2 linked regions of the Oryctolagus cuniculus genome follow. The protein of the gene in region 2 purifies or fractionates together with the protein of the main gene of each other region. This does not show direct contact. Links are inferred from orthologs where the notes say so. Each region holds a gene or a part of one and is shown on either strand. Other genes may lie near its edges.

Region 1 (4,865 bases), on a different chromosome or scaffold from region 2:
CTGATCACTTAAAAAATGTTTATCTCATACATCCTTCCCTGCTCAATGCTTTCATCTATTCCTCACTCTTGTCAACAACAGTGATTGCTAAATAGTGCTTTGGCTATTATAATGCATATTGACTTCAAAATGGACTTGCAGAGCTTGAAAAAGATATAGAATTTTATAAAGTTGATAAGAATGATATTAAATGTGTGTGTATATAGGGTGTGTGCAGTGAGGTGAGGAGCAGGCATTTGGCACAGAAGTTAAGACACTGGTTGAGATACCTGTGTACTGTATTGGAGTGTCTGGTTTGAGCCCCAGTTCCTTTGTTTCTAATTCAGCTTTCTGGTCATGTTCAACCTGGAAGGCAGCAGATGATGGCTTCTGCCAACCACACGGGAGACCTGGATTGAGCTGCTCTGTGTTCCTGTCTTTGGTCTCACCCAGTCTTTTTGTTGTAGCATTTTGGGAGTGGATCAGCAGATGGGAGATTTCTCTCTGTTTCTCTGCCTTTCAAATAAAATGAAAATAAATAAAAATTTTAAAAGTAGCCCAACTGTGGCGTAGTAGGTTAATCTTCCACCTGAAGCACTGGCATCCCATATGGGCACCAGTTCTAGTCCTGGCTGCTCCTTTCAATCCAGCTCTCTGCTATGGCCTAGGAAGGCAGTGGAGGATGGCCCAAGTGCTTGGGCCCCTGTACCCACGTGGGAGACTGGAAAGAAGCTCCTGGCTCCTGGCTCCTGGCTTCGTATTGGCACAGCTCTGACCCTTGTGGCCATTTGGCGAGTGATCCAACAGAAGGAACACCTTTCTCTCTATCTCTCTCTCTCTCACTGTCTGTAATTTTGTCATATAAATAAATAAAATCTAAAAAAAGAAAAATTGTTTTTTGATATAGTAATTATCTTCAGATAATCACATTTTCATTATTTTTATTTTTGGATTTTCTGAGCTCAGTCTATTGAATGGCCCAAGGATTTAAGATCCTCATTTTCAGTTTTCAGTCTTATGCCCAAAAGCCAGAAAATTGAGTGGGGGAAATGAAAGAAAATCATGTTCAATATGGTAAAATTGTAGTGAACTGTTTATTTTTTTGTTTTCATTCTTTCTTCTTTTTTTTGAAGACTTATTTATTTATTTGAAAGGTAGAGTTAGAGGGGAAGGTGGGATAGGGAGAGAGATTGATTTTTCCATCTTCTGGTTCACTCCAAAAATGGCTGCAGCAGCCAAGGCTGAGCAAAGCTGATGTTACGAGCCAAGAAATCCATCCAGATCTCCCATATTTGCTGCTTTCCCAGGTGCATTAGCATGGAGCTGTATCATAACTGGTGCTCATTTGAGATGCTGGTGTTAACAAGTGGTGGCTTAACCTGCTGCTGCTGCGTCACAACACTGGCACCTAGTTTTATTTTCCTCTGAAAAAAAGTCAGGAGTGACCTATGCTTATTTTTTAAATGTGGCTGTGTTAAATTGTTATTTTAATGTTCTCAGGCACATATCTGGCTCAGACCTCTTTCTCAGTGCAAATTACATCTATAACCATTATTGTGACTGCAAAGACCAACATTACTACCTTTCTGGGGACAAAATCAATGATGTCATCTGCCTTCCAGTGGAAAGAGTACCACGTATTACACCAGTATTGGCCTGCCAGGACCGAGTGCTCAGAGTTTTACAGGTTACCATTATTAGTATTTTTTTAACTTTGTGTAATTTACATAAGTGAATATTGATGAATGTTGTGCACTTGAGATAAACTGTTTCAGTGATTACTATTTAAGTGTTCTATATAAAATTTTTCTGGAAAAACATTTTAATAATTGGTAAATTGATTTATTTTTACTTGAGGCAAGTGTGTTGAGATTTTTTACAAGTTTTTAGGAGCAATATGTGGAAGAAAAACGTTGCTTTTCCCATCTCCAAACACAATTTCTGAATTAGTACAATCAGAATTGGATATTCCTAATACAGAGAACCCTCCTGAGCTTTTTGGCTTTACAATTCGTTAGCTTCTTATTTCACCCTCACTTCCCTCCAAAAAATCAAATTACAGGAAAAAATTGGATTGGGGAGCCGGTGCCGTGGCTCAATAGGCTAATCCTCCACCTAGCGGTGCCAGCACTCCGGGTTCTAGTCCCGGTTGGGGCGCCGGATTCTGTCCCGGTTGCCCCTCTTCCAGGCCAGCTCTCTACTGTGGCCCAGGAGTGCAGTGGAGGATGGCCCAAGTCCTTGGGCCCTGCACCCGCATGGGAGACCAGGAGAAGCGCGTGGCTCCTGGCTTCGGATCAGAGTAGTGCTCCGGCTGCAGCGGCCATTGGAGGGTGAACCAACGGAAAAAGGAAGACATTTTTCTCTGTCTCTCTCTCACTGTCCACTCTGCCTGTTGAAAAAAAAAAAAAAGGAGAATGTTTTAGTATTTTCTCCTTGATTTTTACATTTTATACATATATTATTTTCAAAAATGTTAATATATATAAAATTACTAACAAATACAAGTTGATATTTATGACCTAATTTTTTCAGCAGTTTTATTCTAGGTGTTAATAAGAGTACTGTATTTGAATATTGATGTTATTTATATTATTTTAAATTTGTAAACCGTTTGGATTTTTAAATACTTATTCTCCTTTTAGGGATCTGATGTAATGTATGAAATTGAAATTCCTGGCCCACCAACCGTCTTAGAACTATACAATGGAAATGGCGGTAATCAAAATCTCATTTTACTCAATCATCTATATATTATTAAAACATTAAGTGAAACAGGAAATTGTGTATTGAACATGAACTAGAACTGCAACACTTTTTTTTATAATAACTTGTCGGTAATGAACAATAATGGGTTACTGAATTTTGATTTTCAGTTTCTTCATCTAAAATTAGATGATGGCAAAGGGTTTTAACTTGTAGAGTTAAAAATATGTAAGTGTTCTTCCAAAGTTTTCTTATAATATTTAAAAAATTAGATTTTTTATGTGAAAACACTTTCAAGTTTAAAGAGAGATTATGAATTATGGGATAAATGTAGTATGTTTGATTTCAATTGTAAACAGGTAACTCTGGAGAGGACATTTTGTTTGGAACATCAGATGGAAAACTTGGGCTTATTCAGATCACTGCATCTAAACCAATACACAAGTGGGAAATTCGAAATGAGAAGAAGAGGGGAGGTATGCTTTTGTTGTAGTTCATATTCTGAAATTTCAATGATTATGAAACAAAATAGATTATAGATTATATAACTTTTATTGGCCGGCGCCGCGGCTCACTAGGCTAATCCTCCGCCTTGCGGCGCCGGCACACCGGGTTCTAGTCCCGGTCGGGGCTCCGGATTCTGTCCCGGTTGCCCCTCTTCCAGGCCAGCCCTCTGCTGTGGCCCGGGAGTGCAGTGGAGGATGGCCCAGGTGCTTGGGCCCTGCACCCCATGGGAGACCAGGAAAAGCACCTGGCTCCTGGCTCCTGCCATCGGATCAGCGCGGTGCACCGGCCGCAGCGCACCAGCCGCGGCGGCCATTGGAGGGTGAACCAACGGCAAAGGAAGACCTTTCTCTCTGTCTCTCTCTCACTGTCCACTCTGCCTGTCAAAAAAAAAAAAAAAAAAGATTATATAACTTTTATTTATTCACATTATATAGCAGATTTAGCAACTCATAGAGCCAATTCTGAATTTATCTGCTATTTGTTTGTTATCACATCTGTCATACTATTGGAATACTAAGTGAGAAATGTTGATAGTAATTTGGGATAGACAGGATTTTAAAGGCTAATGTGCATCATTCTTTGCTAAAATCCATTTTTCATGGTCTGAAATAGAGAATTAGTTGGAATCTAGGAGTACTTATAATGAGGCAAAGAAAAAATACAGTCTGTGGGTCAGGGAATATTCATATTTCCTAGGGAATTTTTTTTTGTGTTTACTTACTTTAATAACAATATGTAGATCATGCTATCACCATGGAATGTAAGTTCAGGTTAGACAAGAGATTTCACAACTGCAATAATGTATCCTGTAGTATATCAAAGTTTGTGTATAATGTCTGACCAACCAGCTTGCTCATAAACTATTGATCACTTCCACTATAGGTAATTTAACATTTATGAGTCTTACACAGAAAATTAAAAAACACTGCACACATTTTAAAAGTGTTAATTTACCTTTGTATTAGCAGTTAAAATACATGTTTCTATTTCAAGGTGACATTTAGAAATTATGCTAGTATAACAGCAGCAAAAATATAATTCTGCAGTTTTTACAAAAGAGCTAACCTGGAATCCATAATTAAATTAGTCTCACATCTACAAGTATGATTCTGAAATAAATACTACTATGCAGCTGTCTTAAAAGCTTGCTACCTTTTGTTTGTGTACACACACAAGTACACACACACACATTCAGGTGTGGGAGGCTTTACAAATTATATTCCATGAACTTTTTGAAAAAGAGTTCTTTAAGAGATAACCAATCCCAAAAACTGAAATATTCATCCAGTCTATGAGGCAGGCAGAAAAAAGTGAATTAACTGGGTAAACAGGACTCCTTTCCAACACACGAAGCATGTGACACTCTGCAGCAAACTGGGAGTAACTTCAGCATTGGCCTGCTGTGATCTTTAGGACTAATTTCATCACAAGGGTTGGGGTGGAGGGAGAACATTTTAACACCAGGTGTAAAATGTGACATTGTGTTAACCTGACTCCCCGAGGGACCTATTAGTGAACTAGTCACTAATAATTTGGTCACGAGGAGGTCCATATTCAAAATACCATGTATTATTGTCTAAACCCACTCAAATTATTTATTTTCGATATAACACATAACCTCAATATGAGATGTCTAACTAAAGGAAACATCTCCAACAAGGCCAAGCCAGCATCTC
Region 2 (6,483 bases):
TAGAAACCTGAGTGATAGGGGTTGGCATTGCGGTACAGCAGGTTAAGCTGCCTCCTGCGACACCAGCATCCCATGTGAGCAATGGTTCATGACCCGGCTGCCCCACTTCCGATCCAGCTCCCTGCTAATCCTCCTGGGTAAGCAGTGGAAGATGACTCAAGTGTTTGGGCCCCTGCACCCACATGGAAGACCCAGAAGAAGCTCTGGGCTCCTGGCTTCAACCTGGCCCGGATCTAGTCATTGCAACCATTTGGGGAGTGAACCAGCAGATGGAAGATCTCTCCCTCTCTCTCTCATCCCCCACCCTGTAACTCTGCCTTTCAAATAAATAATAAATAAATGTTAACAAAAAAGACAAAGAAATCTCAGTGATGGCAGCATAAAATGGAAATTTAACGGAGCTTTAAAAAGGCCGTGTGTGTGTGTAGGGGAGGATGGAGGTGAGAGAATGTGCCTTATGACCTTGCCAGGAGACAGAGATTCTGTACCCAAAGGGCAGGGTGCCTAGCCAAAGGCAAGGTTGGGCATAGCCACCCCAAGGCACACAATTGTGTGAAGAAATGAAAAGGAAAAGAAACTTCTTGCCACCAGAACCTGGTTTACCACTCACTGCATCAGAACAGAACCTGACTTCTGGGTCTGCGCTTGAAAACACACCTGCAACCGTTTCAATACAGACCTAGGCTGCAGATGCCTCCATGCAGCCTCCTGATGGCCAGGATACGTAAGCCCAGCTCAGTTTCTTCATCCAAAAAGCAAATGGGGAGAACCAAGTCTGCAAAATTCTTTCTAGACCTAAAAATCACCCCATGTGATCTATTTTGAAATTGCACTTTTAGCGATGATTCAGGACTAAAGGCAAATCTCTTTCTCCATGTTACATCTCCCAGTCTCTCAAAAAATGGTAGCTCTCTGCTCCGTGCCTTTTTTTTTTTTTTTTTTTTTTTTGACAGGCAGAGTGGCAGAGTGGACAGTGAGAGAGAGAGACAGAGAGAAAGGTCTTCCTTTGCCATTGGTTCACCCTCCAATGGCCGTCGCGGCTGGCGTGCTGCAGCCAGCGCACCGCGCTGATCCGAAGGCAGGAGCCAGGTGCTTTTCCTGGTCTCCCATGGGGTGCAGGGCCCAAGCACTTGGGCCATCCTCCACTGCACTCCCGGGCCACAGCAGAGAGCTGGCCTGGAAGAGGGGCAACTGGGACAGAATCCGGCTCCCCGACCGGGACTAGAACCCGGTGTGCCGGCGCCGCAAGGCAGAGGATTAGCCTATTGAGCCGCGGCGCCGACCCTCCGTGCCTATTTCTGTGTCTGTGTGAGCTCACTTTTTTCCTCACTCAGTTTCCAGTAATTTTACCTGGCTTCCATTTCTGTTTTCTAAGCCTGCTGTGCCCACTCCATGGTCTATGCCCACTCACCCCTGCCATGCCACTAACCCCTGGTACCTGCACTCATCTATCTCATCCTATACCCTTAAAAAAATTATTTCTGAAACTCAGAGCTACCGAGAGGGATGGAGGGACAGAGAGAGGTCTTCATCCACTGGTTAACTCCCCAGATGACTGCAGTGGCCGGGGCTGGGCCAGGCCAAAGCCAGGAGCCAGGAGCTTCTTCCAGGTCTCTTATGGGGGTGCTGTGGCCCAAATACTTGAGCCATCTTTTGCTTTCCTGGGCCATCAGCAGGGAGCTGGATGGGAAGTGGAGCAGCCAAGACAAGAACCGGCTCCCATATGGGATGCCGGAGTGTCCGGGCTTCACCCACTCTACCACAGCGGCCCCATACTTTTTTTTTTTTTTTTTTTTTTTTTTTTTACGGTAGTGTTTCTTAAGGAGCAGTCCAGTGATCATTCCTGGAAGGTCAGTAAGAACATCAGATTCCAAGAACCCACACTGGACTTCGCCCCTCAGAATTTGCTGGGGGGAGACCAAGGAAGCCGGTGGTTCTAGGCAATAGGAGATTTTCAGAACATACTGTTCTTTGAGAAAATCGAAGCTTGTTGTGATTGTTTTAAAAGGGGGAGAAATGCTCATTTAGTGACTTTCACCAGTTACATAAGAGAAAATAACGGCGGGGCAAGCTCTTCCACACTCTATCCAGGTAACTGGAAGCGCTGGTGTCGGCGTCGCTGTCTCAGCTACCCGGACGCTCAGGTAGGAACTGAACTCCCGGAGAAGAAAAGAACTCCTACGCCCCAGGAGACCGTTGGAAGGTCTAGGATAAGCCCTGGAAGACCCTGAGGCGCAGAGGCCACGGACTAGACCAGCGATTCTCAGCTCTGGAAGCGCCCGCGCCCTGCAGCGCACAGGCGCATTAGGGACCCCAGGCCGCCTCCGCCCCCTCCCGTTACCATGGCAACACCATCCGCTCCCAAAGTTCGCGTGGCGCGACAAGGCGGGACTTCCGGCTTAGGAACCAGTGCGCATGCGGCGGCCGGCGGGCTACGAGGAATTTCCTGTCGCGTGATCCCGGGAACCAACGAAATTGCCCAACTGCAGACCCACGTGCCTGCGTTCCCATTAGCAACCGGAGGCTTCTAAACACCCTCCCCTCCCGCCCCATCTTCGGTGGGCCTACCGCCGTCGGTCGTCCTCGGCTTAGCAAGGCTCCGTCCTGCCGTCCCTACTCCTGTAGGCTGCGGACTCCCGCCCGCCGCCATGGTGAGTGGCTGGCTCGCTGGCGCCGCACGGCTGGGGCTGGAGCGACAGGCTGTCCTCAGAGGACCCTCGTCCCGCTCGGAGCCTCGGGAGGACAGGAGGCCGGGCCCGGCCGGGGAGTTCGGGTCACCTCCGCCCCAGCGCCTCCGGGGTAACCCTGGGCGTCGCCTTTTTCTGGGGGCGCCGCTCCGCGGCGACGCTGATTTCTCATTCCTGAGCCAAGTCGCAGCTCGCAGGGGGCAGTGGCGAGAGCCTGAAGGGGTTTCTCTCTCCCCCCCTCCCTCCCTCCCCTTCTCTGTTTCTCTCTTCTCTGTCTCTTTCGCGGACACACACACTAACGAGAGCAGTCACGTGTTAACCAGCCATTGGAACACCGCTAGGGTTGTTACAATGATTTGTATACGAAGTAGTACAGTACCTGCTGAGCTACTAAGTAACCAATATGTGATGGGTTTTGTTACATTGTACTCACCTTTATCGCTAGAGCTGCTTCCTTGTTCCTCCCATGGTAAAATTGTGTGGATTTGTGGGCGCGGTCAGGATGCTGGGGTTCAGTGACTTGGTAACAGTCACACAGATGGATAGTTGCATCGGCGCACGGACAGCTGGGTTTTAGTCCAGTGCTGTCTCTTTAAACCCCATGTCAACCCAGTGCATTTCCGGGTGAATGACTTGACCTGCATACGTGGAGAATGCATGTGGAGACAGGCTGGGAGTCGCTGTGTCCCAGGCTGCTACTGCTCCCTCTCCTTGCTCCAATCCACTTTAGAGGAACTTTTCAGCCCTTATATCTAAAAATAATCCTTTTCAGTTGGAGAAATTTTTTTTTCTTCCTGGTCCTAGACCTCCTTCACAGGAGGGAAAGTAGCGAACAGGTGTAAATTGGCCACCTGCTCTGCACAAGACTCTACACCAGGTGTTGCGTGGTGTAAGAAATGATTCCTGTGTGCACGCAGCTTCCAGTCGGCTTGGAGCAGCAACACTGGAGAAGATTGAAAAAAAAAAAGATAATGCCACAGGTCGTAACCTGCGGTGGTGCCCGGTTAGGAGCACATGCTAGGTGTTGGAGGCTGGCGTAAAGCAGAGTTTCTGAGGGTGCATTGGGAAGCACCTCAGAGTAGGTAAAAAGAGGTTAGGCCTCGAAGGGGGCCGTAGGAGTTCAGTAATGTGGTGGACTGTGAGAGTACTTCAGAAAGTTCGTGGATTTTTACACCCAACTAAACTTGCCTGTTAACTGGAACATTTGAAGTACTCTTCATGTGGTTGTACTGGCTGCTGAGAGCCAGTTACGTGTTTCCTCTCATCTGTGCAGTCAGGGATGTTACACGGCTCCACTGAACTCAGCCGGCCGTGGAAGTATTTACACTGTGGAGATGAGCGTGACTGCAGATCAGGGGCCTCTCCCCAGAGAGCCTGTTGCTGAACTTACCGCACAGTGCTGGCTGCGATTCAGATTCCTGAACAGGCCGGGGGCGGGGGCTGGTTTCAGGCAAGGAGCAGGATACCGGTGAGTGCGAGTGGAGGCGGGAAATTCTAGGTTAGGCGTCAGGGCTGATGGGCAGGCTCGTCTGGCGGAAGTGGAGTGTTCACAGAGTAGGATTCTGGGAGACCGGGTTAGAGAAAGTGTGAAGGGTTTTAAAGACTGATGAGTACCATTTTTCTTAATCCCATGGCAATGAAAAATAAGAATTTATGCTTGTGGTTTATTTGTTGTTCCCACCCATGGTGGTGTGACTATCAGAGATAACTTTGTCTAATATAGTTGTTGGGCCTTTTTTTTTTTTTAATGCCTGGTGGAAATCAGCTTTGTAAACAATTGTTGCATTTGAATGGGGATGGATTTCCTCTAACTTCACTTCCTCTCTTCTCTCCTTCCTGCAGTCTAGTCCTTAAATGCCTGTTCCTCAGAACTGTTTTGTAAAATTCACCAGCACCTTCCTAATTACAAAGCCAGCTGCCAGGGCTGAGACCTTGCTCTGAGGTGACCTGCTGTACTGTTCGGCTGCTAGCCTTACTATCCTGGGTTTGCCTCCTATGTATCTGCCATGCTCTCCTGTGCTTGAAAACAGTGACCAAACTAAATTATGGCTATTTCCAAATGAAGTATGCTTTTTAAAGCTGTATTTTTTAGAGTAAAGGTTAAGTTCTTTAATACACACACACACACACACAAGCAGACTATGAAGGTTTAGTTTGCTCTCACTTAATGGCCATCTCACTGCTCATCTCTGGGGGTGAGCTATCTCCATGAGGGAGGCACACGTGTCCCTTTCATCCTGCAGCCCCTCCAGCCCTGTGGGCACTGGCCTGGCCTGCATGGGTCAGCTGAGTCCCCACATGTCTCAGGTTGCAGAGGAGCAGGGTGTGGCAAAGGCCTTACCTGTGTCTCAGGGCCCAGGCTTTGGACGGAGCCCACATCTCTTGTGCTCACACCATCCCTGAGAAGCAGTGTGGTGCGGAAGTGGCACCTGGCTGGGCAGCCACGCAGCCGGGAAGGAGGAGAGAGCAGAAGCTGATGCACGTCTTGCATTGTCTAGCACAGGGCAGCCTGTGTACTTTCATTGTTGGTTCTCTCTTCAGATCTCCCAGACTAACATGTGAATCCCTTCTCTCTTTTTCAGGCAGAGTTGGGTCTAAATGAGCACCATCAAAATGAGGTCATTAATTACATGCGTTTCGCACGTTCGAAAAGAGGCCTGAGACTCAAAACGGTGGACTCCTGCTTCCAGGACCTGAAGGAGAGCAGGTATCAGAGGACTCTGAGGAAGCCAGGTCGGAATGGGTTCCTCTCTGGTAGCCAGGACGGGGGTGCTGCAGTGGAGATCATAATGAGCCGTATCTGGGATCACCATCACCAGTGATGCTCTGAGAGCCCTCAGAGGTGTTCCAGACGCACTGCACCGAGTTGTGGTGGGTTGCGGTGGGAGCAGTGAACCTGTCAGACATGTGCAGGATAACTATGGGATGGTGGAGTTTCAGAAGGGTAGTCAGGAAGTCGCGAGGACCTTGTGGATTAATGAGTGGCTGATTGATTGGCTTCCTGTATTAAAGACTGCAGAACTTTACTTACTTGAGTTATTAATTAAAAGATTAGGGGCTGGTGCTGTGGCGTAGTAGGTTAAGCCTCTGCCTGGGGTACCAGCTTCTCATATGGGTGCCTGTTCGAGTCCCAGCTGCTCCACTTCTGATCCAGCTCTGCTAATGGCCTGGCAGAGCAGTGGTGGATGGCCCGAGTGCTTAGTCCCCTGCATCCATGGGGGAGACCCAAAAGAAGCTCCTGGCTCCTGGTTTCAGATCAGTGCAGCTCCAGCTGTTGCAGCCATCCGGGGAGTGAACCAGCGGATGGAAGACCTTTCTCTCTCTTTGTCCCTGTCTTTGTAACTCTGCTTCTCAAATAAATAAATGAAATCTTAAAAAGATTGGAGCCGTATGACATGGCAGTAAGCAACTCAAGCACCTCTGAAGCTCTTATTGAAGTTAGGACAGGGGAACATGGCAGGGATCCATGAACAACCTCCCTGAGCAGCGCCAGAACTGGTAGTTGATTTGAAGCAAGGGGTGATAATTAATTTGCTTGGACCAGTAACAGAAGATAATTAAATGTCAAGTCAGATATAAATGAAGGAGATCTCCAAGGGAGCTGCAGTTCTCGCAGTGCCGTGGGCTGCTACAGCCTTAGACCACTATGTGTTCAAGTTGGCCATCTGGTTCCCTAATCCCCAGCAGAAAGTGACAGTGAATTGGCAGGAACATGAAATGTTCTATTAACAAATGTAGAGAGAGTAGTATTAATATAATAAAAATTTTATTAAAAATAACTGTTTTTTCTAAAGGG

The links.
Region 1: the proteins of LZTFL1 (region 2) and BBS7 purify together in Homo sapiens (affinity purification with mass spectrometry; 3 studies listed by BioGRID and IntAct, counting the BioPlex papers as one, with this or other methods). This does not show direct contact. The link is inferred for Oryctolagus cuniculus from reciprocal best matches to the Homo sapiens genes LZTFL1 and BBS7.

The regions. Positions count from the first base shown.
Region 1 is NC_091439.1:43,202,283-43,207,147, forward strand, and holds part of BBS7 (BBSome complex member BBS7), read left to right. Parts: intron 1-1,479; coding exon 1,480-1,666; intron 1,667-2,621; coding exon 2,622-2,694; intron 2,695-3,041; coding exon 3,042-3,158; intron 3,159-3,889; exon of another isoform or gene 3,890-4,865.
Region 2 is NC_091441.1:103,577,981-103,584,463, reverse strand, and holds the start of LZTFL1 (leucine zipper transcription factor-like protein 1), read left to right. Parts: upstream 1-2,450; 5' UTR 2,451-2,648; coding exon 2,649-2,651; intron 2,652-5,269; coding exon 5,270-5,394; intron 5,395-6,483. UniProt on the Homo sapiens protein: Regulates ciliary localization of the BBSome complex. Together with the BBSome complex, controls SMO ciliary trafficking and contributes to the sonic hedgehog (SHH) pathway regulation. May play a role in neurite outgrowth. May have tumor suppressor function.